7 linked regions of the Mus musculus genome follow. The main gene of each other region encodes a partner of the protein of the gene in region 4 in a complex. Links are inferred from orthologs where the notes say so. Each region holds a gene or a part of one and is shown on either strand. Other genes may lie near its edges. The genes, in order: Lin52, Chaf1b, Tfdp2, Rbbp4, Tfdp1, Cdk2ap2 and Mybl1.

Region 1 (4,090 bases), on a different chromosome or scaffold from region 4:
GCAGTATTAGCAAAACCACATGCCCTTATTTACCTCCAAAAGTTTAACTTCGCTGAGAAAGTTTAACTTGGCCCAGGGCTTGGGAAAAACACTAAAAGCCAGAATGTTTGTGAAAACTAACAAATGGCTGCCTTTTTGATATGAAAACCTAGGGTACATGTCTAGGAGATTCAAAGTTCCTTCTCTGATCTTAGTTCCATGTCCTTAATGAGCTCCCATCCCCTCTTGCCTCACATAGAGGCTGGATGGGGGGAAGGGACGCTCCTGGCAAAGGAAAGTACTCTATGTACAGCGACCAAAAGGAGGAGTTTCTGGGGCACAGAGGTGGCTGGTACAGAGGTGAAAGAGAGACCGTGGGAGGAACCAAAAAAGAGAAAGCAAGCCAGCATGTGACAGCAAGGACTGAGCTGGACTGGAGGTGGGTGGGTCAAAGCTAAAAAAGAAAAGGCTCAGGAGTAAAGGGGAGTGGGGAGCAGGCGTGACCGTCCGGGGCTGAATCTCGGGGCCAGGCGGTACAGAGTGACAGCCCTGACGCACGGGTCTGGTGGAACACAAGGGGCTGCAAAGAAGGGGCTGGGCCAAGAAGTCTGTCCGGCAGAAGCATGGTTTAGAGACGGGGCGGAAAGGACCCATTTCTAACATCATGGTCCCTCGTCGCCACCCTCACTCGCCTGCAGGATCCGGGACCGCATTGCTGCCGCTGCCGCCACTGCCGCCGCCATGGCTCACCGACTCTGCCCAGCTCGCCTGCGTCTCGGCTGCCAGTGCCTCCCTTGAAGCAACACCGTTAAGCCACGCCCAGAACACGACCGAGCCTCTCCATTGGAGGGAAGGGCCACTTCCTATAACCAATCACTTGTCGGAATCTTTGACTCCACCCATCATTCCCACCCCTGGGAATAGGTGATTGGTCAAAGGTGGAAGCGTTCTGGGCTTCTCTCACTTTATCCTATTTTTGTTGGCGGAAATATGGAGACGCCCCCTCGACTTGGTACTGCATAGTAAGCACACAGGGAAGACGCCCCCTAACCGGGAACTCCGATTGGCTGTAGGTAGGCTCTCTAAGGTCCCGCCCCCTTGCTAAGGAAAGTAAATAAGGTCCTTGAAGAATTTTGCCTGCGTTCCACTTTAACCACTCCGTGGGTGGGGCTGCTGTCTGGGGTGGGACTAGGCAAATGTTACCCTATGAAGTAGGGAAACGAGACCGGGCTGTGAGCTAAGGATAGGTTATCCCTGCTAGGGGCGTGGCTTGCGGATCCTCGCTTTCCCGCCGACGGTTGGTTACGTCACGTGACATGGGCTGGAAGATGGCGTCTCCCACAGACGGTAAGAGCCGGCTTGGAGATTGTTGGCCTGTAGTATCATTATTTGCTTCTCTGGGAACTTCCTCTGTCCTCACCCTTACTCTTTTTTTCTTGCGCCCCTCTCCTTTCTCTCCCACTTTTCTCCTTTGGGGTATGCCGGCTTTTCAGCTAGCAGGTGCCTAGTACCAGGTCTCCTTGCTGTGTACTAGGAAGGAGTCCATCAACCGGAGTCCCTATGGGGGGAAAAAGGACAGAGGTCGCTCCGGCCCATCGGTGATGCTGAGGGTTCAAAAGGAGCTGCTGAGGGGAAAGGGAACTTTCTTTTTGAACAGGCCCATTGGAGTGTTGGTTCTGTTCTCATCTCAGTAGAGCTGGTACGTATGAGTCTCTCAAGCTCTATGGCTGTGAAGTGTGAGTGGTGACTGACATGAGGTCTAGGGTTCATTCCTCTACCGAGCCGGCAGAGAGAGAAGCTTGTCTCCTCAGTTCAGGTCCGTTGCCTTGGCAGCAGGAGGTGCGGGGACCTGGTTTCCTTGCCCTGAGTCCCGAGGGAGTGAAAATTCGGCTTGTTAATGTCGCTTCTCACGCTTCTCAACTCTTCCTTAACTCGTCACCCCTCTACTTTATGTGTTGTTTCCGTAGGCTGAGGGCAGGAGCAATTCTGCTTATTCTGTCTTCTAAGACGCAAGTCATCTCAGTAGACATATAGGTGTTCTTGATATACCCGTATGCTTTTGCTCGCGGTTTTGCTTTAATATTTGGAATTGCTCTTCTGTCATTATTCAGCATCTCAGTTTATATAGTTATTCTGTTAACTTTGCACTTTGCCCGGGCCACACCCAACTATAAATTCCAATTCTGTCTTATTTCATTAATTTAGTCCTAGGGTTTTTTTTTGGGGGGGGGTTGTTTGTTTATTTTTACTATTTATTTATTTATTTTGGTTTTTCGAGACAGGGTTTCTCTGTATAGCCCTGGCTGTCCTGGAACTCACTCTGTAGACCAGGCTGGCCTCGAACTCAGAAATCCGCCTGCCTCTGCCTCCCGAGTGCTGGGATTAAAGGCGTGCACTACCACTGCCCGGCTAATCCTAGGTTTTAGAATAATGCCTGTAAAGGATTTGGCTTTAAGTTAACGTTTATCCAAAAGTAAAACTGGCCTTGGTGTGTGACCTCTAATTCTAGCTTGGGAGATTGAGGCAGGAGGTTTGTTGCTTCAGGCTTGCCTAGGCTGTAGAGGGAATTGTAGGCAAATCGTGTCTAAAATAAAAAGTTGGTTTAGTTTGTTGGTTGTTTTGTTTTTGTTTTTGTTTTTCCTGAGACAAGGTTTCTTGTATAGTCCTGGCTGTCCTGAAACTTGCTCTATAGACAAGGCTGGCTTTGAACTCAGAGCTCTTCCTACCTCTGCCTCCCGAGGCGTGCACCACCATAACACAGCTTAAAATAAAACGTTTTATTTTTAAAAGTAAGGGAGGAGTGACTGGAGAGATGGCTCAGAGATTAAGAGCACTGGTGCTCTTCCAGAAGTCCTGAGTCCAATTCCCAGCAACCCTATAGTGACTCCTGACCATCTACAATGAAATCTGGTGCCCCCGTCTGGTGTGCAGGTGTACATGCAGGCAGAACACTGTGTACATAGTAAATAAATCTTTTTTTAAAATGTGAGGGGGATGCAGGGGGCTGGTGAGATGGCTCAGTAGTTAGGAACACCTGGTGCTTTTGCAAAAGACCTGGATTCTATTCCCAGCATCTACATGGTGACTCATGACTCGATTCCAGTGGATCTGACCGCCATGAACATCAAGCACACATGTACTCCACATATATACCATGAAGACAAGACAGTCATACCATAACTACATCTGAAAATGAACAATAAGAAGTGAGACTGTAGTTCAGCACTAGGGAGTTGTTGATCATGACCAAGACCCTAAGTTCAGTCTTTAGTACTAAAGAGGATGATTAGATTATATTCAAAAGTAAGGATACCAGAGTTTCCTCCTTTCTAATTCTTTCCTTTTTTTGAGATAGGGTCTCACTGTGTAGCCCAGGTTGGCTTCAGACTCACCATCCTCTTGCTTTCCTACCTGTGCCTCCAGTAAAAGTCTGTACCACTATGCCTGGCCTCTTACCAAAGAAGTTGTGTTCACAACAAAAGAGATTCTCTAGCCTGGGTGTTTTTTTGTTTGTTTGTTTGTTTGTTTTTTGTTCTGTTTTGTTTTTGCTAAAACATCCTTTTCTTACTAGCAAAAAAAAAAAAAAGTGTTGGTAAGATTTTTGTTGTCTTTTTAAAAAATTGGGGTTCATCTTGGTGTCTGTGGAGGTCTCCTGGGAGCAGGATTTCTAAAAGCCAGTATCTGGAAGACTGTGGTACAAGGCCAGTTTTTGCTGGATAAGTGAGGTTCTAGAAGCAGAGAGCATCCAGCTCTTCTTCAAATTGAAGGTGCTGGTATCTGAGAGGAGACTTAATTCTACTAAGACAAAGAGATGTGCTTATGTGTATCAGAAAGTAACACAGTGACTCCTGGAGCAGACCAAACAAAAGCAGAGAATTGTGCTGAGAGATAAGTCTTCTGTGGAGAGATAAGTCTCGGCCCTGTAGAAATGGTAGCAGCCATCGTGCAAAGGCCAGAATCCATGGAATGCTACACAAATGTAAACTAACGAAAAGTAAATAAGTCAAAGAACTTGGGTTTGTGGCATTGCAGTTTCTTGAGATGGAGAAGGTTGGGTAAGTGGATTTTGAACATAGCGCTATTAAGGGGTTTTCCCTACGTGCAAATGGAG
Region 2 (3,500 bases), on a different chromosome or scaffold from region 4:
AAAGTCAGTCTCTGCAGTGCTACGGCCCCCTGCTTTGGTCACTCTGTAATATTTACTAGCAGAAAACCAGTCCTCTGCCAAGAAGCTGATCTGGGAGTTTGAGGGATTTGGGTTTTGGGTGGAGAGATTGACTGATTTTATTGGTTTGGTTTTAATTTGTTTGTCTGAGCCAGGGTCTCACACATATCAGGCTGGTCTTGAACTCACTACAGAACCAAGGTTGGCCTGGGTCTTCTCCCACCTCCACCTGCCAAGTGTTGGAGTATAGCAAAATGCTACCACGTGTAGCTGACAGATTCACTGAGAAATTCCTGATTTCCTTGCTAAGGAATTGTGTCTCAGCTGTGAGGCATAGGACTGGATGGCGTTATCAGGCTGCATTCTAAACAAGCCACGTTCCCAAGCGGCAACACCCACCTTCTGCTCAGCTATAATGGGAACTGTTGCTTTTTTTTTCAACCTGAACAGAATAGCAACATCTAAGTTGCCACACAGTTCAGTTCTGCATTTGCCTGTTGGCGGGTATCAGAACCTGTCCTGGATGTAATCTATACCTTGCTTTCACTCATTGGTCTATCTGTGGTGCTAAGGGTTGACCCCAAAGCCTTACACACCTTGGACACACCTGACTAATGAGCTTCATCTAAGTCCTCAGTTTTTCTTTCAGGTTTTCATCTTTTGTGTTTTGTTTTCTTGCCAAGTGAGAGGGCCGAGGTATAGGATACATTGTATCAAAGGCACCAGGTGGCGCTTCCACCATGTGTCTACTGACTTAGTCTGCTACACCTTTACCATATGGAAGTTTTACATTCCCAGCCAGGCCTGGGCTGCACACCTGTGATCCCAGCATTCAGGAAACTGGGATAAGAGGATCACAAGTTGAGGATCACCTTCAGCTACCCGAGTTCAGCACCAGCCTGAGCTACGCGAGACCATGACTCAGAACAAATGGCATGCAGTAGTCGGTTGGTACAAGGCTTGCACCACCACTCCGCTCACACCTGCAGGAGCTGAAGTGAACAGAGCCGTCCCTGTGGTGCCATCACACCCCTATGTCACATGCCGTCAGGCACACCTGGAGTGAGGAGCAAAGATCCATCTGGAGTAAAGCTGAGTCTTCGGAAGAACGACTTCATGCTGTCGTCGTGAAACATCCGGAAACTTCTTGCCTGTGGTAACAGAGCTTGAAATCACCTGAAAGCCTCTAACCCTCCACAGAGGCTCACCACTTAGAACTGGCACGCCAACAAGGCAGTCCAAGGAGAAGCCTCATCAGTTGGCCAGCAGGTCGGGCAAGTGCCGTGATTCAGAGGCAAGGAAGGACAACCCCAAGACTCACCAGATCTCAAAGGGCGAGATATTTTATGCTGGGCTGCTGAATGGCTCGGAGGGTAAAAGGCACTTGTTACCAAGCCTGTTGATCTGAGTTCCCAGGACCCATACAGTGCACTAAGGGAACTGACTCCCGACCTTCAGAAGCACACTGTAACACGTGTGTGCATGTTCCTGTATGCGTACTTGCACTCTTAACACACACACATATTCTTGCACACACACTCACACATGTGCCCAAACGTGAATATCACACATACATATGCATGCATACACACATGCCAAAGGCATACTCGTGTGGGCACACACACACACACACACACACACACACAAAACACACACCCATGAAAAAATGATAAGTACTTCCTACCTCTCCTTCAGGCCCCTGTCCAGAGAGCATCTTTGAAATGTTGAAAGCCACACGCTTTTTCTGGGTATTATAGATCCGCAGCACCCTGAAGAAAGAGCAGTCTGAGTCCCATCCCAGCACGGGAACTGGGTCTCACACAGTAACAACCTACTGCGAGTCTGCGGCTTGTCCCCTTGAGTCAAGTGTGATTCAGTTTATTTGATGCTAAAGCTCTTCCTAACGGGGCGGACAGATGCACCAGTGGCTATGAGCATGCACTGCTCTTGTAGGGAAGCCCAGTCTGTTCCCAGCACTGACAGCTCCCAACTGTAACTCCAGCCCCAGGGAACCCAATGCCCTCTTCTGGCCTCCAAGAGCACCAGGCACACACCTGGTACAAAGACATACATGCAGGCAAACATAAGAGTTCTTTCTACATCAATTCACCCATCCGGTAAAGATTCACTGGTGCCAGGTCTGCACAGGGCACCTGGCCTAATTCGTCTCTAATTCCTGTCTTGTCAGAATAGCAGATCCAAACAAAAAAGCCAAAGCTGGACTATCGATCCCTTAGTAAGGTTGCGATAAAACATTTGCAAAACACGTTCATGTTACTTACGAACCTGTCACAGCTCAGGGTCGCAATATATTGACCCAAAGGATCCCAGGTGACTCCTTGCACATAACTTTTATGCTCGTTGAAAATGGAAATTTTCTGCCCTACAAAGAAGCACGAGAAAGTTATTATCAAGATTTCCAGGAAGCACGCTGCAGGAACCACAATGTTGGCACTGTCTCCTACGTCCTGTCTGCCACTCTGCAAGCAACCTCAGAGAAGCCGAGTCAGACTCAGGGGACCCAAAGATCACTCCACACAGCCCCACCCCCACCCCTGCAGCACTCAAGGCAGCCAGGATGTAGAGCAAGCATGAGGCTGTGTGGGTTCGAGAAATTAGGAGCAATATCAGAGCCCTCAGTTTAGTTCTCTGGGTTGGCTAGTATGGTGGTTTGAAAGAAAATGGCCCCACATGCTCCAAGGGAGTTGGTACTACCAGGAGGTGTGGCCATGTTAAAGTAGGCGTGGTCTCGTTGGAGGAAGTGTGTCTAGGTTCACTCCCTGCTGCCTGAGGATCCAGAGGTAGAACTCTCAGCTCCCTCTCCAGCACCATGTCTGCCTGTACGCTGCCAGGCTTCCCGCCATGATGATAACAGACTGAACCTCTGAACTGTAAGCCAGCCCCAATTAAATGTTGTCCATTATAAGAGGTGCCTTGGGCATGGTGTCTCCTCACAATAGCAACCCTGAGAAGGTAGGACGGGGGTGGGAGGGATGACATGCACAGGAGAATCCCTCACTCGCAGCTTAGACCCTGGATGGTGGCAGCATTGAACTGCTGAGATGAAAGGGAGGACTCAGAAACAAGATGGAAGGAAAGAGAGGTACTGCAGTCAGAGAGCTCTGTAGGCAAAGAGCAGGCCAAGACCAGCTAGCTGGGAAACGATCTGCGCTTCAAAGAGCGAGCTGAAGCCAGACCTGGTGGTGCACACCAGGTGAAGAGGAGGTAGGGGGTATCCAGGGTTCAAGGCCAGCCTTGGTTACAAAGAGCTTCAAGGCAAACAAACAAACCAGAGTTGGGAAAATATGAGAGGAGAAAGAGTGACAAGTTAGGTCACAGAAACTGAAGGATGGTTGGGCGAGGCCTGAGCTGAGCAGGCTAACAAAGGCCCTCAGCAGAGGAGACAGCAGCACAGAGCTTCCCCAGACCAAAGGGAAACACAGTTATGGAGCCTTAACTATGTATGTATGTGTGCACGTGCA
Region 3 (4,144 bases), on a different chromosome or scaffold from region 4:
ATAGTCTCCAAATCTTCCAAAGAGAAAGCCAAGGGTGTTTGCTCTTGGCTTCCTCACCTCATTATGCATTTTTTCTGTCTGCTTGCCTTAGTTTCTACCTATGTACATCATCATTTTTTGAGAAAGGATCTCACTGTTATCTATCTATCTATCTATCTATCTATCTATCTATCTATCTAATGTTTTTGAGAAAGGATCTCATGTAGACTCAGTTGGTCTAAACTCCCGACTCTGCCACCCAGACCATGAGCTGACACTCTGGGGCTGGTATTTACATCAATAGCCCCCTCTCAGAGTTGTTTCCCTTATCACACCACTGAATTTTTTTTTAAAGAACTTTAAGAAGCATCTTTCCTACCTCACTGGAACATAAGCTCAATTATGCCAAGAATTTTTGTCTCTTTTGTACACACAGCCCTAGCATCATAAATAGTATTTGGCTCATAGAGCTATGAGGAAATTAAAATGAAAAAGATCAAAGTATTTTAAAGTCGGATTTTCTTATCTTACTTCCAAACGTCCACATTAGCTACAGTTCATACAGGATCCATGCACTTGAAAGGGGGAAACACCTTTTTTTGGAGGGGTGGGGGCAGGGTCAAAGTGTCTAGCCCTGGCTGGCTCAGAACTCACTGTGTTGACTAGGCTGGCCTTAGACTTAAAGAGATATGCTAGTGTCTGCCTCAGGAGTGCTGGGGTTAAAGACATGAGCCACTAAGCCAACCTGAATTTCTTAATAAATGACTGGGTATTTGAGAGTGTGTGCCTCCAACTTTTTCGGTTCAACTTCGAAATTAAGGCATCTGGCCTTAATTTATTGCTACACTTTCCCAGGAATTGAAGCATGACCAACCTCCACAGTGGTCCACGTGTGGCCTCAGGGTCACTTATCCCTCTGCCTTCCGAGTGTTCCTGGAGCAGTGGCCCATCAGAGGTCTATGGTCCAGATGTAAGGACCTAGTTCCGGTTTCTTTCCGAGAGATGGGATGGAAAAGAGAACCATACTTTAGAGCTGAGAGAAGCGAGGTGGTGGGTGGAGGTGAGGAGAGGGGCTGATGTGGTGGAGGGGGAAGGGCGAGCCTGGCTGCCCTCTAGGTGGCAGGGGTCCAGCGGCAGGCAGAGCCTCAGGGCGGCCCCTAGCGGAGAGTGGCTTTGGAGGTCAAAAGACCAGGGCAGGCTCCCGCAAGCCCGCCGCCCACCTCCGCCTCTGGCCCTGGGGGCGAGCCTGGGGGCGGGTTTTGTTTACTCCCTACACGCACTGCGGCCCGGCCAATCCGTGGAGAGCGTCGGCGCGCGTCATGCCAGCCGAGGGCCAATCGGCGCTCACCGTGCTGCTCCGCCGCCAAAGCGAGCGCGGGGGAAGCGGCGCCGCCGCGGCCGTGTCGCTGAGGGCGGACGGCGTCGGGCGCGCTGGGCTGTGCGGCCGTCGCTGCCTGGCACGCGGGGCGCGCCTTGACCCTTCCTGCACTGCAGGCTTCCGACGCGCGCGAAGACCGCGGCTGCGCGGCCGGGAGCTTGCTCCGAGCGGACCTGGCTCTGCCTGAGGAGCGGCGGCTCGCGAAGAAGCGTCTCCCCGGGAGTGGGCCGAGGGCTGTGTGGACCGGCGGCGGCCCCTCTGCACCAAGCTGCGGTAAGGTCCCGGAAAGGGCGCGGGCCTGCGCGCCAGGGGCCTTTGGACCGGGCGTGGCCCCCCGCCGGCCGGCTCTCCCCTGCCCTGTCCCGGGAGTCTCAGCTTGTCCTCAGGATTTCTCTGCAGCGGGGCCAAGCAACCCTGGAATACCTGATGAGGCTCCGGAGCCCGCGGGCTCGCCATCACCCGGGATCAGGAAGGGCAAGGGCTGACTTGGGCTTCTCACTCAGATCTTCTGACTTTCCCTCCTCCCTTCGTGATCCACCATCCTCCAGTCTGTTTCTGCGGGGTGCTTTTGCAGAGTTCCAAAGCTCTCCCTACCTGGAAGACCCCCAGGTTCCCCCAAGAGAACTTTTCCTTTCAAGTAGAGGTTACTTTCTCGGCCCAAGTTCTGGGAGGAATTCTGCACAAGGCCCTGGTTGCTGTGCACAGAGCAGCGGGAAAGTGACTGTGGGCTCCGCCGAGAGGTGGCACAGTGAAGTGCGTGGACACTCACTCGCCCGTGTTCCGGTGCTTTGTGTGGGCTCAGTTTGTTCATCTGTGAGCCACATCTGCCTATGCGAGGACGGGGAGGGTGTTGGGAGAGAGAAAAGGGCTAATCTCCGGAATGCACTTGAAACAAAGCTCACTTCTACTAAATGCATAACGTAACCCTGGATGCTGGAGGAGACTCTGGACCCCATGTTGTTTCACCTTTTCGGCTGAAATCGTTACCAGGCTTGTAGCCTGGCCTAGCAAAATGTTTACTTTGCATTCTTTTTCCATAGCATTCGTTGAAAGTACCTTTGAGCCTTTGGCGACTTCTGTCTTTCCTCCTTTCATCTCAAGGGGCTCCAACCCCTTATCCTGCCTCCTCTAGGCCAGCAGTTCTCAACCTTCCTAATGCTGTGACCTGACCCCAACCATAAAAGCATTTTGTTGCTACTTCATAACTGTAATTTTGCTACTGTTATGAATTGCAATGTAAATATTTAGGTTTTCCGATGGTCTTAGGCAAGAACGACTCCCTTTAGAAAGGGGTCATGACCCACAGGTTAGAAAACACCCCTCTACAGAGCCAGCTGCTGTGTTTCATTTGACTTAGAATTTTTCTGGGTCATTTGTTTTCTGTTCTCCTAATGGTTTGAAGTCATCGTAACTAGGCAGTATGGTTTAAGTCATTAGCCTCTTTTCCACTGTGGCAGAATTCAAAGTTGAGTATAAAATGTTTGTTTTGCATCTTGCCTCTTCCAGTCACTGATTATCTTACGATTTACTAAGGCTTTACCACTATCCCATTGCTGGAATTCATGTAAGTGTCCATTCTCAAATTGCATCAGGAGATAAAGGCGCCGGCCAGACCCCAGGTTCTGTCACGCTTGTGTACTGGCTCTGGGCAGAGTTAGTTTTAGAACATCTTGTGCCTTGGAACTAGTTTAGTGTTATGGCAGATATGGTGTCAGTAGCCAGTGCTGGCATGTGGTTGCAGAGTCAGGAATGCAGCACTTAACATTTGTTAAGAAAGTCCCGAGACTTAGTAAACCCTTCTGTTGCCTTAATTCCAGGCATAGTAAAGTAGTTTTAGTTATTCATATTACTATTTTGTGGCCGTAATTCCCTTCCCTCGCCCCTTGCGAATATGTAGTCCTTGCCGTGTGCAGGTTTTACCCTTGCAGCCAAAATTCTTAACTGACCTCCAGTACGGTTTGAGGGCTGGGGCATCAATAGCGCAGTGGTAGGGTAATTACCTAAACCTAGATTGACGCCCAGCCCCGGAAATATAAAACAGCAGTAACAAGACCTCACTTTGAAATAGGCTGTGCACTCCTTTCTTCATCTTTTAGGTTTACTTTGGTATGTGTCATGATGGCCCTCAGAAGAAACTAGATTGGGGGTTGTAAGGGTTTTAAAGATGATTAACTATAAATTGGGGCTGGCGAGATGGTTCGGTGGGTAAAGGTGCTTGTCTCCAAGTCTGCTGACCTTATCTCTGTCTGTCTCAGGGATCCACAGTGTGGATGGACAGAGCTCATCCTGAACGTTATCCTCTGACTGTTCCACACCTGTGCCCTCCTCCAAACAAACAACCCCCTACACCTCCCCCCAAAACTAAATGTACTTGCTTTTTAATACCTTTCTATCTTAACCTGTGATAACAGGACTTTAAGGATTTCTGAAGGCTAATGAACCCTTAGAAATGGTTTGCAAGATAACTTTTATTTTTATACTTTTAAAAGATTTGTTTGTTTGTTTATTTATTTATTTATTTATTTTTATGTATATTAGAACACTATAGCTGTACAGATGGTTGTGAGCCTTCATGTAGTTGTTGGGAATTGAATTTTTGGACCTCTGCTCACTCTGGTCAACCCTGCTCACTCTGGTCGGCCCCACTTGTTCAGTCCTTGCTCACTCTGGCCCAAAGATTTATTTATTACTATAGATAAGTACACTGTAGCTGTCTTCAGATACACTAGAGAGGGTGGCAGATCTCATTATGAGTGGTTTTGAGCCACCATGTAATGCTAGGATTTG
Region 4 (3,500 bases):
TTGTGTTTGTTTTAAGTAGTTCTTACTATCTCAAGATGGAATTGTTTGGATTTTTGTTTTGTTGTTTTGTTATACATGTACATTGCTGACTGATATCCTGGGTTACCAACTTAAATAATGGTGATTTGTTTTTATAGGCCTGAAGGGAAAGATTTCAGCATTCATCGGCTTGTCCTGGGAACACACACATCTGATGAACAGAACCACCTGGTGATTGCCAGTGTCCAGCTCCCTAATGATGATGCTCAGTTTGATGCATCCCATTATGACAGTGAAAAAGGAGGTAGGACTCTTCCGGGATGGAAGAAGTAATGGTATATGGGTTATATCTTCATTAAGGAGGTATACAATTTGGTTAACCAGGAAGACATTGACCCAAAGACAGAAATTAGTTCATAGATGTGGGTTGCTACACCTTTTTTTTAATGTGTGCATGTTTTTTCTACATATATGTCTGCACTACTTGTGTGCTTGGTGCCTATGAAGGCCGGTAAGGGAGGGATATCAGATCCCCTGGAAGTGGGGTTATAGACATTTGTGAGCCGTTGGGAATTGAACCTGGGCCCTCTGGAAGAGCAGCTAGTGCTCTAAATCACTAAGCCATCCCCCTAGCACCATATTGAACTCAGGACCTCTGTAAGAGCAACCAGTGCTCTTAACCATTGAGCCATCTCTTCATCTCCCCTAGGTTTTTTCCAGGTACATGAGATGCAGACTAAATGTGTAGTGTGTGTTTCTTGCTCTTCTGACATCTCTTAAACTAAGGCACATGAGGCAGGAGGATCACAAGTTGTGGCCAGCCTGGGGCTAGTGATTCCCATCATAACAGAAAATGTTTACACAGCACCCAAAGTATACAATGTGTCTGTTGCTATAATTCCATGGGGTCTAGGGGCAGATTAATAAAAACATCTTAGAAGGTTAACTGATTAGGGTGGGGAGAAAAACACGAGATTATGGTTTGTTTTTGGAGACATGGTTTCTCTGTGTATGTAGCTCTGACTGTCCTTGTCACTCTAGACCAGGCTGGTCTCAAACTCAGAGATCTGCCTGCCTCTGCCTCCCAAGTGCTGGCTGGGATTGATTCTTAGGCATGTGCCACCACCTCTCAGCCACTCAGTGACTTAGGACAGTGGAAATGACTGTGGTACCTGTTACATGCATAAAAAGTTTCAGCAACCTGTTTTTTTAGGAGAATACCCTAACTGCTCACAAATACTTCTTTTTCTAGATAGGAATTGATACTTATGTCCCTGTAGAGAACTTGACTCCCAAAAGTTGTTCTTGTCACTATGTATGTTAGGAGCTTGTACATATCCACCTGAATGTGTGTGTGCAGTAAACTACAAACAGAAAAGAGAAGGGTTTTGTTTGTTTGGTTGGTTGGTTTTGGTTTTTCGAGACAGGGTTTCTCTGTGTAGACCAGGCTGTCCTGGAACTCACTCTATAGACCAGGCTGGCCTCGAACTCAGAAATCCGCCTGCCTTTGCCTCCCGAGTGCTTGGGTTAAAGGCGTGCGCCACCATGCCCAGCCAGAAAGGAGAAGTTGAGGATGGAGCTCAGTGGGTAAGTTGTTTGACATGCACAAGGCACTGGATTCTAAACCACATACAATGGTATGCATTTGCAAGGTAGGGGTAGAAGGCTGGGCATTCTAAGGGGGTTGAGTACTTACTACATACAGGACTCTTTCTCTCTTTCTTTCTTTCTTTCTTTCTTTCTTTCTTTCAAGATTTATTTATTATATGTAAGTACACTGTAGCTGTCTCAGACACACCAGAAAAGGGCGTCAGATCTCATTTCCGATGGTTGTGAGCCACCATGTGGTTGCTGGGATTTGAACTCAGGACTTTCGGAAGAGCAGTCAGTGCTCTTAACTGCAGAGCCATCTCTCCAGCCCCAGGACTTTTTCTTTTTAAGATTTATGTATATGGGTGCTCTGTCTGCATGTGCACCTACTGTTAGTAGAGGGCAGCAGAACTCATTACAGATTGAGAGCCACCATGTGGTTGCTGGGAATTGAACTCAGAACCTCTTCTCTCCTCAGGGTTTTTATTGGTACCTCAGAAAGAGGTAGTGTAGGTAGAATGTGTGGTGTGGGTTTCTTTGTTTTTCTGTAATTGGATTCAATAACTTGTAATCTCATTTTGCATGAGTGGTCTACGAGAGTGAAGGTGCGCATGTCCATGCCAGCACACTTGGAAGTCAGGGCCTTCCTCTGTCACTCTCTTGTTTAATCCTTTGACATGGTTTTGCTGAATTGGAGGCTTGCCCTGCCAGCTAGGCTGCATGTATGTCTTCATACTCTATTCCTGGGTTACAGGAAAACCTCAAGTTATACCTGGCCTTTTATGTTAGTGCCAAACTCAGGTCTTCATTCTTGCTGAATAGCAAACTTTGTACTCACTGGCCATCTCTCTGTCCTCCAAGGTCATTTAACTTGGGGTGTGTGTGTGTGTGTGTGTGTGTTGTATTTTACTTGGTTTTGAATAGGCTCTCATGTAACCCAGGCTGGCTTAAACTTGGAATCGTCATCCTTGCTTTGCCTCTGAGGTTCTGGGAGGGATTAGGCTAGCAAACCTGGCTTCTATTATTGTTTAAAAACTGTACAGTTATAAATTATTAACTTTTCCTCTAAAGTCCTCCAACTTTTTTGTCATTCTTTGAAATGCTTTCCTGTCCCAAAGAGCTCAAAATAATCTTTTTTTTTTAATACTTTAACTGATAAAACTTTGGTCTTTCTGTTTATTTTGCTGGTTGTTTATGATTAGAATTTAGTCCTGTTCCCTGAATGTTTATCTTGCTTTGGGGAGTTGGGGGTCAGCATGCTCTCTACCCCGTGAGCTGCTTCCTTTGACATCAGCTTTGTGTATTGGTGTAGGTGTGTGCCAGATGAGGAAGGATTATCATACATTAAAGGCAGTTGTCTGCATATTGAGTCCCTGAGTGAATTCTCAAAAGGGCTTCTCTGTCCTCCCCAAAAAAGAAGCAGTGATATGAATAACAGCTGTGGATTTTTTAATTTGATTATCACAATACCCCAGTGTTACATACATTATTTTTCTCTCCATTAAAGTGATACTTTACAGATCAGAGAATAAGCTTGGTATTTAAAAGGTGTGGGGGATGGTGACTTTGTTGATCTCATCAGCGATGGGCAGAGTTATGTCTAATGTTTAAGACTTTGAGTGCTGGGTTGTATCTCAGTGGTAGAATTTACTAGTCTTGGATCTGTAAGACCCTGGGCTCTATACCTAGCACCACAGACACACAAAAAAAGTGTTTTTGAGAGATTATTAGGTAAGTAATCTCCTACCTAAAAGATGAACTACATTATAAAAATTCATTGATTGATTGTGGGAAAAATGATTTGATTATTTGGTTTGTGCTGTTAAAACACATTCTTTGAGATTCCACTAAATTTATTGCCTAGAAAAGTGACTCATTAGAAATCAGAGTGACAGAACCTTATGTGTGAATACTATTAGTTTAGAAAGATG
Region 5 (4,193 bases), on a different chromosome or scaffold from region 4:
ACTCATGCCTTGGGTATTTCTGGTGCAAGCTATTGACACACTCATGCCTGGGTATCGCCTCTTCTGCTTCAGCAATAAGCAGCTGTGGTTGCAGGGCTGCTTCCTCAAAGCCGCTGAGCAGTGTTCAAACAGGACAGCTGCTGGCGGACAGTTCGGCCAGATGCTAAAGAAGGGCTGTTGGGCTGAGTCATGGGACTGAGGCAGCCAGGTAACGGAGAAAGATCTGTCAGTTTGGGAGTCAAATTGACCTTTCCTCCAGAATAAAATCCGGTCACTCACATTAACAGTTTTCTGATAGTACTTAACTTTGCCCTGCTCTTCAGTCCCATATTCTTGGGAAACGTTGTGTCATTTTATCTGAACCATTTGGACTGATTTGTGAGCCCCAGCCTATTCTCCTCCCAGGCTCTCCAGCTTTAGTCTTAAAGAAGTGGCCTCTAAGATGGACTGAGTCTTCAAGGCTCAGGGTCTACCAGACCCCTCTTGGGATGAAGCAGAAGGTTTCTGAAGTGAAAGGCGCAAATGCATACACACCTGATTAACAGGCTGTTTCCTGCCCTGAATCACTGACAGCCCAGGCTCAGGGCATGTGGCTGTGGAGGTCAGTAGTTGAGCAGAGGTGGGGGATCTTGTCTCTGTATTGTTCAGTATGCATCCGAACAGTCTTTACTTTGTTCTGTGTAAATGAACAAGATTCTTCTCCCTGTGTGCACATGCAGGTACTTTAAAGCACTCTCAGAACTGACCTCTTTTTTCTCATGTGTACACACACGCCTGCTTTTTTTCAGTGCGCAGACATTAACATAGGTTTCCATATGTTTGCACAGAGGGTTCTCTTCTGTATATATGTTCAGGCGTGCACACACGACTGATACTCCATGTACACACACGTGTATACAGTCAGACTCTGCATATCCACAGGTGTGCACACACATGATCCTTTCCCTACGTGTGCATGCAGGTATGGCACACACCACATTCTTTTCACCGTTGGCGCGCGTGGTACACGCGCACACACAGAGCCAAACACGTGGCCCTCTACTCCCTGCGCATGCACACAGATATGCATACAGTTGGCCCTTGGTGTACACACACACACACATACACACACACACACACACACACACACACACACACACACACACACACAGAGGCGCGCACACACGTGGCCTCTCTCCGAGCGCACATGGAGACGCGCGCAGCGCTGTTCGGCGTCGGCGGTCTCCAGCCGGGTCCCGCCGCACGCGCACGCGCGCGCAGGCCCCGCCCCTCTCCCAGGGCGGGTAGCACCGGCGAGAGGCGCGGGAGATGAGCGGCGGGAGGAGGAGGAGGAGGAGGAGGGCGCCGAAGGCGCGAAAAGGCGCGCAGGCGCGCTGCGCGCAGCGGGCCCGCCGCCGCCCACGTCACCGCGCCGCGCGCACGTCACGCCGGCCCGACGCTCGGCCCAGGGTGAGCCCGCGTCCCGGCGCCGCTGGCTCAGGGCAGGGACCGCCAGGGCCGGACCTCCGGGCCGGCGCCTCCGCGCCCCCGTCGTCCGCCCCGCGCGCCCCGCCGGCCAGCCAGGTGTGGCGGGGGCACCGGCCGGTCGCGGCGGGAGGGCGCAGGCTGGGCGCGCGGCCCCGTTCCCGCCCCAGCCCGGTTCCCGCGTCCGGTCGCATCCCGCCCGCCGCCCAGCCTCAGCTGGAGTCGGCCTCGACGCGGCGTGGCGTGGGCGGCGGGCAGGGGTCCTGGCCACCCTCCGGCTCTGTCCGCGCCAGGGCGCGGGGCTGGTGGCTGGGCCTAGTGACAGGTGGGGCGAGCGGGCGGGCGGCCGGGAGCCCACCTGTCAGAGTGGTCGGCGGCCCCTCGGGGTCTTGGGCAGCCCGGGGTGGGGGGTGCCCGCCGCGGCCCGGGCGGAGCCACGCAGTGTCGTGTGCCCAAGTGGGGGGCCTTGTGCCTCGGCGGGGCCTGTGGTCAGGCGGGGCCCGCGTGCCCAGGTGGGGTGAGCCTGACGGCTGCGCGTCGCTCAGCCAAGGGTCCGGGGTCTGGCCCCGCTGCCGGTGGGAGCTGCTGGTGCCCGCAGGGAGCATTTCCATTTAGAGAGGTGACTTAAAATCCCCGTGTGGGACCTGCTTGGCTAGCTCTCCTGTCGGGATTGTGCAAGAAAGGCCCCTGCTGCCTGGAGGCCTGCCTCTGCCTCGTGCTGGTGGGGAGATGTTTCCTTTGAAATGCGATGTGCGTTAAATTTCTTCTCATTCTCATTCATTATTCATCCCCTCCCTTTTTTTCTTTTCTTTCTTTCTTTCTTTTTTTTTTTTTTTTAACCAGATAAGTACGGTTTCTTCTGTGGAGGGTACGCAGTTAAAGCCTTGATTTCCTGGATCTGGTAACATGGCAAAAGATGTAAGTATGGTCGCTGCATGCTGCAGACATGTTGGCACAGCTCGTTGCAGTTTTCTCCCTTTATTTGAGAGTGGCCATACGTGTGTGGCAGTGGGTTGGCCAAGACATTTTACAGGCAGGAGCTGGGATGGAGATGAGGGATGATGGCGAGAGTCGTTAGGTGGGTGTCTCCCCTCTGCACAAATGGTCTTTGTCATCCGAAGCGTGACACGTTTTTTTTTTCTTTTTTGTTTTTTTTTTCGTGGTTTGATGATGATGTCTTGATTTTTTTTTCTTTATCTAAACTGCTTAAATAAAATAAAAAAATTAATACATCTCTCAGTTATGAGTGTGTGAGAGGGTGTTGTTTGTTAGTGGGTTTCCACACAGGAGAGCTGTCAACATGGAACTTACACTGTACTAGTTTTATGTAGTACGTAAGACCGTAATCCAGCTTTGATGGATTGAATCCCAACTACTTGTTTGGGCACATTTTTCTCAGAAAGATGACATTTGGTGATTAATGAAACACCGTGGAAATGCTGGTTGGTTTAGCTTCATATTTATCACGAAGCTACCGAGCGTTTTGAAGTTTTTTTGGGAAACAGGTATGGACAATTAGGTTTTAAGGCTGTAAATACAGTCTGTATTGTTGGTCACATACATACATTTTTGCAGTATTGCTTTAACTCCCTCCAACACTGATCGTGTCCGTTCCAGTGTTCCTCAGTGTCCACTGTTCTGTGACTGTTAGATTCATGCCTTTTCTGTGCAGCCCTGGAAATGCAGGCAGACATGCCGCATCAGCTAGAGTTGTGCCCAGGTGTAGCGGAACCGTGGTGCAGGTGCGGAGTCCTGTCCTGACTGGCCCGCATGGAACAGACCCTCTTCTGGTCATCGAGCACCGGACCTGCTCCTGGGGGCCGGGGGGGGGGGGGGGTCATGTCTCACCCTGAGAGACCTTGTGTAGGTCACCTGAAGTCACAACTACATATGGCACTGGCTTGATCTCGTTATATCTGTTGTCTATGTACATCCATGTCCTGACTCCGTCCCCACGAGTGCCCTAATGAGAGACATGCCACCCAGCGCATGCCTACAAAGTAGCTAGATTTGGTGAATGGGTGTAAACGGGGTGCTGGCTCCCGTGCCTTTGTGAGGCCACATGGCATGGTGTAGTTTCACTGAGTCAGCATACTCAAGCCCAGTCATCTTAGTTTGTCATTATACACTCCTGTGTGCAGTGTCCCCTGGGGAGGCAAGTGGTCAGGAGCTCCTGTCCGGCTGCCGGTTTGGGGTTAGCCATTGTGGTGTGGCTAGGCCAGTGCTGTGACTGGGTATCAGAATGCTGCAGCTTAGTCCCCCAACAAGTGCGCACAGACATAGGCAGAGGTGAAGTGGCGCTCCCTGTTTTCTTGCAGACAGTCAAGGGTTGGGTCTTCTCTGTAGCCAACTGTGTTTTTAAGTAGGATGTGATGTTTGGGTTCGGAAAGGGACTTTGTAACTTATGCTGAAGGGAAAGAAAGAGGCACCATTGAAGTGTTCTAAGCACTTGATGCTTAAGTGAAATCTGGTTGTAAAGGGTCCTGTAGACATGTGGCTCTGAAGGCCATGACACTGGTGAGAACAGACAAAAGTCACGCTTGAGGTCACAGAAGAGGGGCAGGAAGGGCAGACAGAAGACAAATAACTTAGGGTTTTTCTGCCCCTGCTGGTGCCCAGGCAGACCAGCAGGTAAGTTGGGCTCACTGTGAACCGGGGCTGTGAAGCCGGGCAGGCAGTTGTCAGTGGACAGGATGGGGATGGCAGGAGCTGGCACGGAGCAGTGGAGT
Region 6 (3,623 bases), on a different chromosome or scaffold from region 4:
GAGACCCTTTCTCAGAAAAAAAAAAAAAAAAAAAGTCTAGGGTGTTTTCTCTGACTGTACGTTTGTGTACTACCTGCTTGCTAGGTGCCCACTGAGAACAGAAAGAGATATTGGGCCCCCTGGAAATGCAGTTACAGATGGTTCTGAGGCACTTTATGTAAATGCTTAGAATTCTAACCTGGGTCCTCTGGAGGAGCAGCCTGTCCTCTTACCTGCTAAGCCATCTCTGCAGTCGCTTTTTTAAAAAGTGAGTTGAGGGCTAAAGCAGCAGTTCTGCAGACATATATGCAGACAAAACACTCGTATACATAAAATAGTTTTATTTTAATTTTAAAGTGAATTGATTTCAAGGAAATAGGAACTAGATGGCCAGACCCAGGTGGGAGTTTCATTAATGACGTCAGAACAATAATCAACCATGCTTCAACCCATATGGGGCTGGCTCTCATCTCTATTTCTCTACCCACTTCCAAGTTTACTTTCCAGGTATTACTGTCTTCATGTTTCATGAGAAAACGGAAACCTATTAGGGCAAGAAACTGGCGTGTGACTGTAATCCTTTAGCATTTCCGAGACAAGAGCATCAGGAATTCAAGGTCACCCTCCCCTACCCGGAGAGTTCGAGTTCTGACTGGGCTACTTGAGACCTTGTCTCAATCTCATCCCACCCGCCAAAAAGAGTCCAGGAGGAAACCATTAATGAGGTGTTGAGATTCCAGCCAAGGGTCTTGACCAGGGTCCTGACTTGACCTAACGCAATTCTTGATCTATGATGCTCTATCATTGTCTGTGGAGAGAGTAGGGGACTTAGGGTTCAGTGTCGAGCAGCGTCGTTGGCTGCCTTGGACCCACCTGCCTAGACCGAAGATTCAAACCAATCCAGAGAAGGAGCTTGGTAATGACTTTGGTGAGGGAACCGTTGCCATGGGAACAAATACAGGCCTGAGGCGCGCACATGCGCACAGCCGAAGGGGGGGGGACACGGAACCAGTGAAAGGTGACGTAAAACGCTCGGGGTAGGGCGGAGTGCTCACACTGTGGGAGCCGTGGCCTTGGGAGTTCTGAGCGGAGGGAAGTCGCGAAGCGGTGAGGACGAAGTGTGTTCGGCGGCCCGCCACACACCACCGGAGCAAACCGCGGGGACCAGACTGGCCCGCTGCCGAGGCCCCGCCTCTTGGACCTCGGGACTAATCGGATTGAAAGCGCGCCGGCCCCGGGCCCCGAACTCGCCAATTGAGGAGGACGACTGTCACCGCCCAATCCGGGGCAGACAGGTGCGAGGTCCGGAAGGTGGAGGCCAATCGGCAGCGGTTGCGCCCTGCGGGGGCAAGATTCAGCCAATGAGGAGGCTCGAGTGACAGCTGAGCGCGCCAATCGAGAGTGAGGACCGATCGTGCCCGCCCACCCTTCCGGCCGGAGCTCTATTTACCAGGGGCGTGCAGCTCGCTTGCCAATCAGAGTGCGGCTGAGCTGCCGGACAGCCAACCCCAGAGGAGCGGCCGGCTGGCGGCCGCCGCACTGAGGAGTTGGGATGTCCTACAAACCTATCGCGCCCGCCCCCAGCAGTACCCCGGGCTCCAGCACCCCCGGGCCAGGCACCCCGGTCCCTACAGGTGAGGCTCCAACTCCATCCTTGTTCGCCTTGTCCGGGCAGTCGAGGTCTTGGAGAGAAACCGCTCGAGTTTTGCAATCCGGGGCCTGCTAGACGAGCCTGGCTCAGCCTCAGTTTGCTGGCCTGAGAAGTGGGCGTGGTCACGTAGAGCTTGTAGGTGGAGCGCAGGGGGGAGGAGTGTGTCTCCGAAGTTGTTCAGAGTGGAATGAAGAAGCATGCCGTTGGAGGTTAGTCAAGGGAACAGTCCTGGGCTTGGAAATCTGTGACGAGGCCCTTGTCACACTCTGACCTCTTGCTGGTGTCGTTGCAGCCGGGAGTGTCCCATCGCCATCGGGCTCAGTGCCAGGAGCTGCCGCACCTTTCAGACCGCTGTTTAACGACTTTGGTCCGCCCTCCATGGGGTATGTACAGGTGAGTGTGGCCAAGAGCTTGCTTATGGCTGAGGACAGGAGATCCCCTCGGGGTCTGAGATCACGTCTGTATTTTCTTTTGACACAGGCGATGAAGCCACCTGGTTCCCAGGGCTCTCAGAGCACCTACACGGACCTGCTGTCTGTCATAGAGGAGATGGGCAAAGAGATCCGGCCCACCTATGCTGGTAGCAAGAGTGCCATGGAGCGCCTGAAGAGAGGTAAGTGAAGCCACAGGCCTGCCCTTGCTCTGCCCAGGACACAGACACTGAACTTTAAGACAGTTCAGTAAGGATGGAGGATATCTAGAGTCAGGACAGGACATTTGGGCCAGCCTCGATTGGAACAGAACGTGTACCTAAGGAGGGGTTTTAAATGAACTTTTCCATTTTCAAATGAGTCTGTTTCCAAGAAGGTGCCTGGGAACTCGGATTAGCCAACCCTTAATCCCATCCATCCTCATTAGATTAGAGGTGCTCTTGCTGAACCATGGAGCGGTGGGGGAGTGTCTGCTCTGAAGGGTGGCTGTGGACTGTTTCTGGGGCCCTGTTTATTACTTCCCCATCCTCACCGCACCCCAGGCATCATCCACGCTCGGGCACTAGTCAGAGAGTGCTTGGCAGAGACAGAACGCAATGCCCGCACGTAACAGGAAGCACCTTGACCTCCTCGCCGGGACCTTTCTGGCCACTGCAGAGCGCCTGCTTCTCCCTGGCCTTCGCGCCCCAAGTTGCTTCCTATCCTGGGCTTCCTGTCCTGTGTCCCTTAGTGGGCACCCTCCAGGAACCAGGTAGCAGATCTTCGTCCAGTTGGCTGTACAAACTGGTCTCCTCCCTCTGTGGGAGTGCTGGGAGGCCACTGGGAGTCCCTTCCATGACCTGCTCACAGTGCTGATCTGACGGGAGCTTGCTCCTCTCTGTGGCCCCACCACACAGCACTTACTCCTTAACTCTTAGCCCAGGCCACCTCCTGCCTCTTCAACAGGAGTGCAGAAGACCTTCCTGCCTCATCTCTGGGGCCACAGCCGACTCTTTTTTTGGTGTGTCTTTTACTAAATATGTCCTTTTTGTATAAATAAAAGATGCTTTGGAGTCATTCTCTCAGCCTTTCTGTGTGTGGTTCCTCTGGGGAAGCCTGAGTGGGCAGAGGGGAAGGGCAGAGCAGGAACTGGGAAGGGCGCTTGAACCGAGCTTTGCCTTCCCATCTTGTCCATTGCTACCTCCAGCTCTGCGCCTTGCAGCTGAAGGCCAGACAGAACACCAATGATGTCTGCATAAGGAGGTGCCACCAGGGGGCAGCGTAGGGCTTGGCTGCCTTCACAGCTGGAGGCACTATTGGACAGCCGGAGCCTAAAGGGCCCTTCCTGTAGATTGGCAGGCATGCCTGGCAGGGTGGAAATACCAGTTCACTTAAGCCTCTCCCGTGAACGTCCTAATGCCCCTACACCAGCTCCGCTTTAAAACCATCCTTGGAAGGCTCTAAATACACCGGGTCCCTGACTCCTAAGGGAGGCAGTTAGAGGCTCCTTCCCCCCCACCCCCAGCACCTTGGCTTGATGCTGCTATCCACTGTCCTGACAACTTCCACAAGGCTGGGTGTGG
Region 7 (3,500 bases), on a different chromosome or scaffold from region 4:
GTGGGGAAGGAATTTCTGGCCGTTGCCTTTTAAAATCTTTAAAAATAATTTAGTCCCAGCCACTTGCCTTTTTGGAAGAAGACATTCGAGAAGTTTTAAAAGAAGAAACTGGAACAGATATATTCCTCAAAGAGGAAGATGAACCTGCTTATAAAAGCTGCAAACAGGAGGTAACCTTGAGTATTGTGTATGCATTTCTTTTCAGAGTTAGTTAGAGGCGGGTCTTTATGTAATTTTGGCTGCCCTCAAACTTCCAAACGCCCGCCATCACTTTCTGAGAACGGTGATTGCAGATGTGCTTCCCATCCCAGCTCTTCCAGTATTGTTGTAGTCAGTGTTTACCATGTTGGAGAGACTTGGCTATAATGTGACCCTGTAAATTACTTTTCTTAGCACTCTGCATCTGTGAAGAAGGTCAGAAAATCCCTTGCCTTAGAGAGCTGGGACAAAGAAGAACCAGGGACTCAACTGCTAACTGAAGACATTTCAGACATGCAGGTTTGTAAAGAATTCATATATGTTTTTAAATGGCTGTCTTAAGTCATAATTGTTCTCATTTCATATGGATTGCTTGGCCAGATAATTTAAAAGAGAGTTACAGAAAATTTAGGGTTATTTTGCCTAGTTCAGAGAGAATCTATTATCTGTGAAGAATATATGATTTTTTTAAACTTGTTTTATTTTGAGAAGTTAGATTTTTGTATGATATCAAAAAGTGGAGGTTCATAAAGCTTTAAGTTTTAGTATTTTATGAAATTACCAAATATTACTATAGCACTAGAAATGTATTTATGTAATTACCAAGCTATTACTATAGAACTTAGTGAGATGTTATTATAGAGCCAGATGCTTCCTAGTAGGGCAGTGAGCAGGGCTTCTATTACCATTCACTCAGTAGTTTCTTGTCTCTGTTTTTGAATTAGTTATTTTCCTCTTTCTTTTTTCTCTTAGTCAGAAAATATTCTTACAACATCTTTATTAATGATACCATTATTGGAAATACATGACAATAGGTGCAACTTGACTCCTGAAAAACAAGATATAAATTCAGCCAACAAAACATATACACTTAATAAAAAGAGACCAAACCCTAACCCTTGTAAAGCTGTCAAATTGGAAAAGAGTCTTCAGGTATGGATTCATAAATTTCTTGAGTGATTTTTGTTATTGTTTAGTCAATGATCACTTAAACTTACTGATCACAAGTTATCCTTTTTCTTTTAAAGTTGAAATTGACAAGTACAACAAAGAATGACTATTTTGTCACTGAAAGCAGGCTTGGGTTTGAGAGAGACTCATTCATCAGTGCACATGTCGTCTATACAACTGGAACTGTAGTCGGAGATTTTTTGGCTATTTTGTTTGTTTTGGGTTTTTTTTTTTTTTGCTCATTTTTGTTGTTGTTTTGAGACAGGATCTCACCTCATTATGTAGCTGAGCTTGAACTCATATATGCAGCTTCAGCTTCCTAAATCCTGGGGCACAGACTTTTGACACCATGCCTGGCCCTTCGGTGATTCCCTAATTTATTTTGTGTGTGTAGATATTTAAATCCACTTCTGATAAGTAATTGGAAACATTTCAGCATGATTTTGTTTGTATAATGGCTCCCAATAAACTTCGTGGATTAAAACTATAAAACAAAACAAAACAAAACAAAATCCCCCTATTCCTGTGTGTTCAGTAAATAGATGAAAATGAAGGCTAGAGAAATTCTTATCCTGTTATTTTAGGAGTTTTCCCAGAGAGGAAAATTAGAGAAGAAGATTTCTTCTTTATGCCACACTATATGCAGAGTAAATTCTGACATTTAAGCATTTCTTGAAAACATCTTTGGCAATCAGATATAGTAGCTACTTGTCTGTCTTAAGCTATGGCTTTCAGAGAGTGACATAATACATGCCCTTAGTTGTTTAAAATGTTTTTAATTCCCGGTGTTTAGTTAACTTAGAGCTCCTTGGAAAAGTTCACTATATAGTAGCTCTTATATATTAATATAGGAACTTTTATTCTTTAATAAGGAAGAAAACAAAGAAGGTGCACTCCTTGTTCACATTTAACATTAGATCTTCCCTTTAAGTTAGTCTGTCTCTGTCTGTCTCTGTCTCTGTCTCTGTCTCTGTCTCTGTCTCTGTCTCTGTCTCTTTTTTTCTGGCACTGGAGTCCAAACCTGGGCTCGCACATGCTAGACAAATACTCTACCAATGAGCTACATCTCCAACTCCTTTTTTTGTTTACAAAACTAGAGGGCAAAAAGGGATTATTTTTTTCCCTATTATCCATTTGCTTTGTGGGGAGTTGTTGGGAACAAAACTATTATACTGTCATTATAGGCCAGTGAACAGTGTACATAATTGTAATAATTACACAAAATTATCATAAATATTTTAGTATGTATTTAAAATAAAGCATCTCATTTAAAAAGATTCAATGTTATCAAAACATTTTTAATGCAATTACTTACAAAATTCCTAGACAAAACAATTGATTTTTGGAAGTCTAGTTGTATGGATTGGCAATGTGGCTTAGTGGGTAGAGCTGCCAAACCTGATGGCCTGGGTTCAGTTCTGCAGCCCACATGGCAGAATGAGAGGACTAACTTTTGAAAGTTGTCTTGATTTCCGCGTATGTTATGTGCCCCCCCTTTGGTATTTAATTTTACTAATCTTCATATCTCTATTCACCTTTCCTTCATAGTCAAATTGTGAATGGGAAACAGTGGTATATGGGAAGACAGAAGACCAACTTATCATGACTGAACAAGCGAGAAGATATCTGAGTACTTACACAGCTACCAGCAGCACATCAAGAGCTCTAATACTCTAACTGTTACTAAAGCTGATAAAATGCCCTACCCCTTTACTGTATTTTATGCTAAATTAGGTTGCAATGAAATTTGTCTCAATTAATTCTTTTAAAGGTTTTAATACATCCCTAAAATGGTTCACGTTTTTTTCTATATTGAACAGGCAAAAAACTAATAAGCTACTTAAAGTAAGGGGTAGGCAAATTTATTATTTATATGTTTAAGAAATGAGAGTTTTAAAATTTGTTTTAAAGAACAAAATGGGAAAATAAGCATGTTTCTGGATATTCCATAGTAAATTCTCACATAATTTCTTTACAGGATATATGTTGCTACTGTCTCAAGGCTGTAGTCTGTTATAAACAAGTTAAGTATGTGTGACCTCTGAAAGTCTACATTTAGGAAGCACAGAGGCTTTATGAAGTACTTTTGCATGTGTGCTGATTTACTAAGACTACCATTCATAAAGAAACACAGTGGGAAGGAGTCTCAAGGAAGCTAGAAGTTGCACTACTAATTTTGGTATTTTTCAGAAACAATGAAATTAACTACAGTGTTAAGGATATTTATTTGTGCATAGTACTAAAAATGCATTGAAAATGGGCTTTTTCTTACTAGTAAAGAGTCAGTATTTCTTCATAAGTCTCAGAAGAGCTGAGAATTTTGTTGAATGTATTGTACAGTATATAGGAGC

The links.
Region 1: Rbbp4 (region 4) and Lin52 share a complex: the UniProt entries of both Homo sapiens proteins name them as parts of the DREAM complex. The link is inferred for Mus musculus from reciprocal best matches to the Homo sapiens genes RBBP4 and LIN52.
Region 2: the proteins of Rbbp4 (region 4) and Chaf1b are in contact, whole or in part, in a crystal structure (PDB 7Y5O), measured with the Homo sapiens proteins. The link is inferred for Mus musculus from reciprocal best matches to the Homo sapiens genes RBBP4 and CHAF1B. Residues at the interface, in NP_005601.1 of Homo sapiens: Gly58, Lys59, Asp60, Asn88, Asp89, Asp90, Ala91, Phe93, Glu406, Asn410; in NP_005432.1 of Homo sapiens: Arg28, Lys48, Gly49, Pro50, Asp51, Gly52, Lys53, Lys377, Lys385.
Region 3: Rbbp4 (region 4) and Tfdp2 share a complex: the UniProt entries of both Homo sapiens proteins name them as parts of the DREAM complex. The link is inferred for Mus musculus from reciprocal best matches to the Homo sapiens genes RBBP4 and TFDP2.
Region 5: Rbbp4 (region 4) and Tfdp1 share a complex: the UniProt entries of both Homo sapiens proteins name them as parts of the DREAM complex. The link is inferred for Mus musculus from reciprocal best matches to the Homo sapiens genes RBBP4 and TFDP1.
Region 6: Rbbp4 (region 4) and Cdk2ap2 share a complex: the UniProt entries of both Homo sapiens proteins name them as parts of the nucleosome remodeling and deacetylase (NuRD) repressor complex. The link is inferred for Mus musculus from reciprocal best matches to the Homo sapiens genes RBBP4 and CDK2AP2.
Region 7: Rbbp4 (region 4) and Mybl1 share a complex: the UniProt entries of both Homo sapiens proteins name them as parts of the DREAM complex. The link is inferred for Mus musculus from reciprocal best matches to the Homo sapiens genes RBBP4 and MYBL1.

Annotation. Positions count from the first base shown.
Region 1 is NC_000078.6:84,450,218-84,454,307, forward strand, and holds the start of Lin52 (protein lin-52 homolog), read left to right. Parts: upstream 1-1,290; 5' UTR 1,291-1,295; coding exon 1,296-1,326; intron 1,327-4,090. Other genes in the region: Aldh6a1 (methylmalonate-semialdehyde dehydrogenase [acylating], mitochondrial isoform 1 precursor), read right to left, coding at 672-722.
Region 2 is NC_000082.6:93,890,401-93,893,900, reverse strand, and holds part of Chaf1b (chromatin assembly factor 1 subunit B), read right to left. Parts: intron 2,402-3,500; coding exon 2,305-2,401; intron 1,788-2,304; coding exon 1,703-1,787; intron 1,170-1,702; coding exon 1,076-1,169; exon of another isoform or gene 1,002-1,075; intron 1-1,001. UniProt on the Homo sapiens protein: Acts as a component of the histone chaperone complex chromatin assembly factor 1 (CAF-1), which assembles histone octamers onto DNA during replication and repair.
Region 3 is NC_000075.6:96,194,931-96,199,074, forward strand, and holds the start of Tfdp2 (transcription factor Dp-2), read left to right. Parts: upstream 1-1,344; 5' UTR 1,345-1,630; intron 1,631-4,144. UniProt on the Homo sapiens protein: Can stimulate E2F-dependent transcription.
Region 4 is NC_000070.6:129,325,371-129,328,870, reverse strand, and holds part of Rbbp4 (histone-binding protein RBBP4), read left to right. Parts: intron 1-137; coding exon 138-283; intron 284-3,500. UniProt on the Homo sapiens protein: Core histone-binding subunit that may target chromatin assembly factors, chromatin remodeling factors and histone deacetylases to their histone substrates in a manner that is regulated by nucleosomal DNA.
Region 5 is NC_000074.6:13,337,358-13,341,550, forward strand, and holds the start of Tfdp1 (transcription factor Dp-1), read left to right. Parts: upstream 1-1,393; 5' UTR 1,394-1,449; exon of another isoform or gene 1,450-1,563; intron 1,564-1,584; exon of another isoform or gene 1,585-2,083; intron 2,084-2,307; 5' UTR 2,308-2,370; coding exon 2,371-2,382; intron 2,383-4,193. UniProt on the Homo sapiens protein: Can stimulate E2F-dependent transcription.
Region 6 is NC_000085.6:4,095,895-4,099,517, forward strand, and holds Cdk2ap2 (cyclin-dependent kinase 2-associated protein 2), read left to right. Parts: upstream 1-1,456; 5' UTR 1,457-1,531; coding exon 1,532-1,613; exon of another isoform or gene 1,614-1,817; coding exon of another isoform or gene 1,818-1,839; intron 1,840-1,922; coding exon 1,923-2,023; intron 2,024-2,110; coding exon 2,111-2,243; intron 2,244-2,603; coding exon 2,604-2,671; 3' UTR 2,672-3,123; downstream 3,124-3,623. UniProt on the Homo sapiens protein: Acts as a component of the histone deacetylase NuRD complex which participates in the remodeling of chromatin.
Region 7 is NC_000067.6:9,669,210-9,672,709, reverse strand, and holds part of Mybl1 (myb-related protein A), read left to right. Parts: intron 1-53; coding exon 54-170; intron 171-393; coding exon 394-498; intron 499-951; coding exon of another isoform or gene 952-1,131; intron 1,132-2,697; coding exon 2,698-2,826; 3' UTR 2,827-3,500. UniProt on the Homo sapiens protein: Transcription factor that specifically recognizes the sequence 5'-YAAC[GT]G-3'.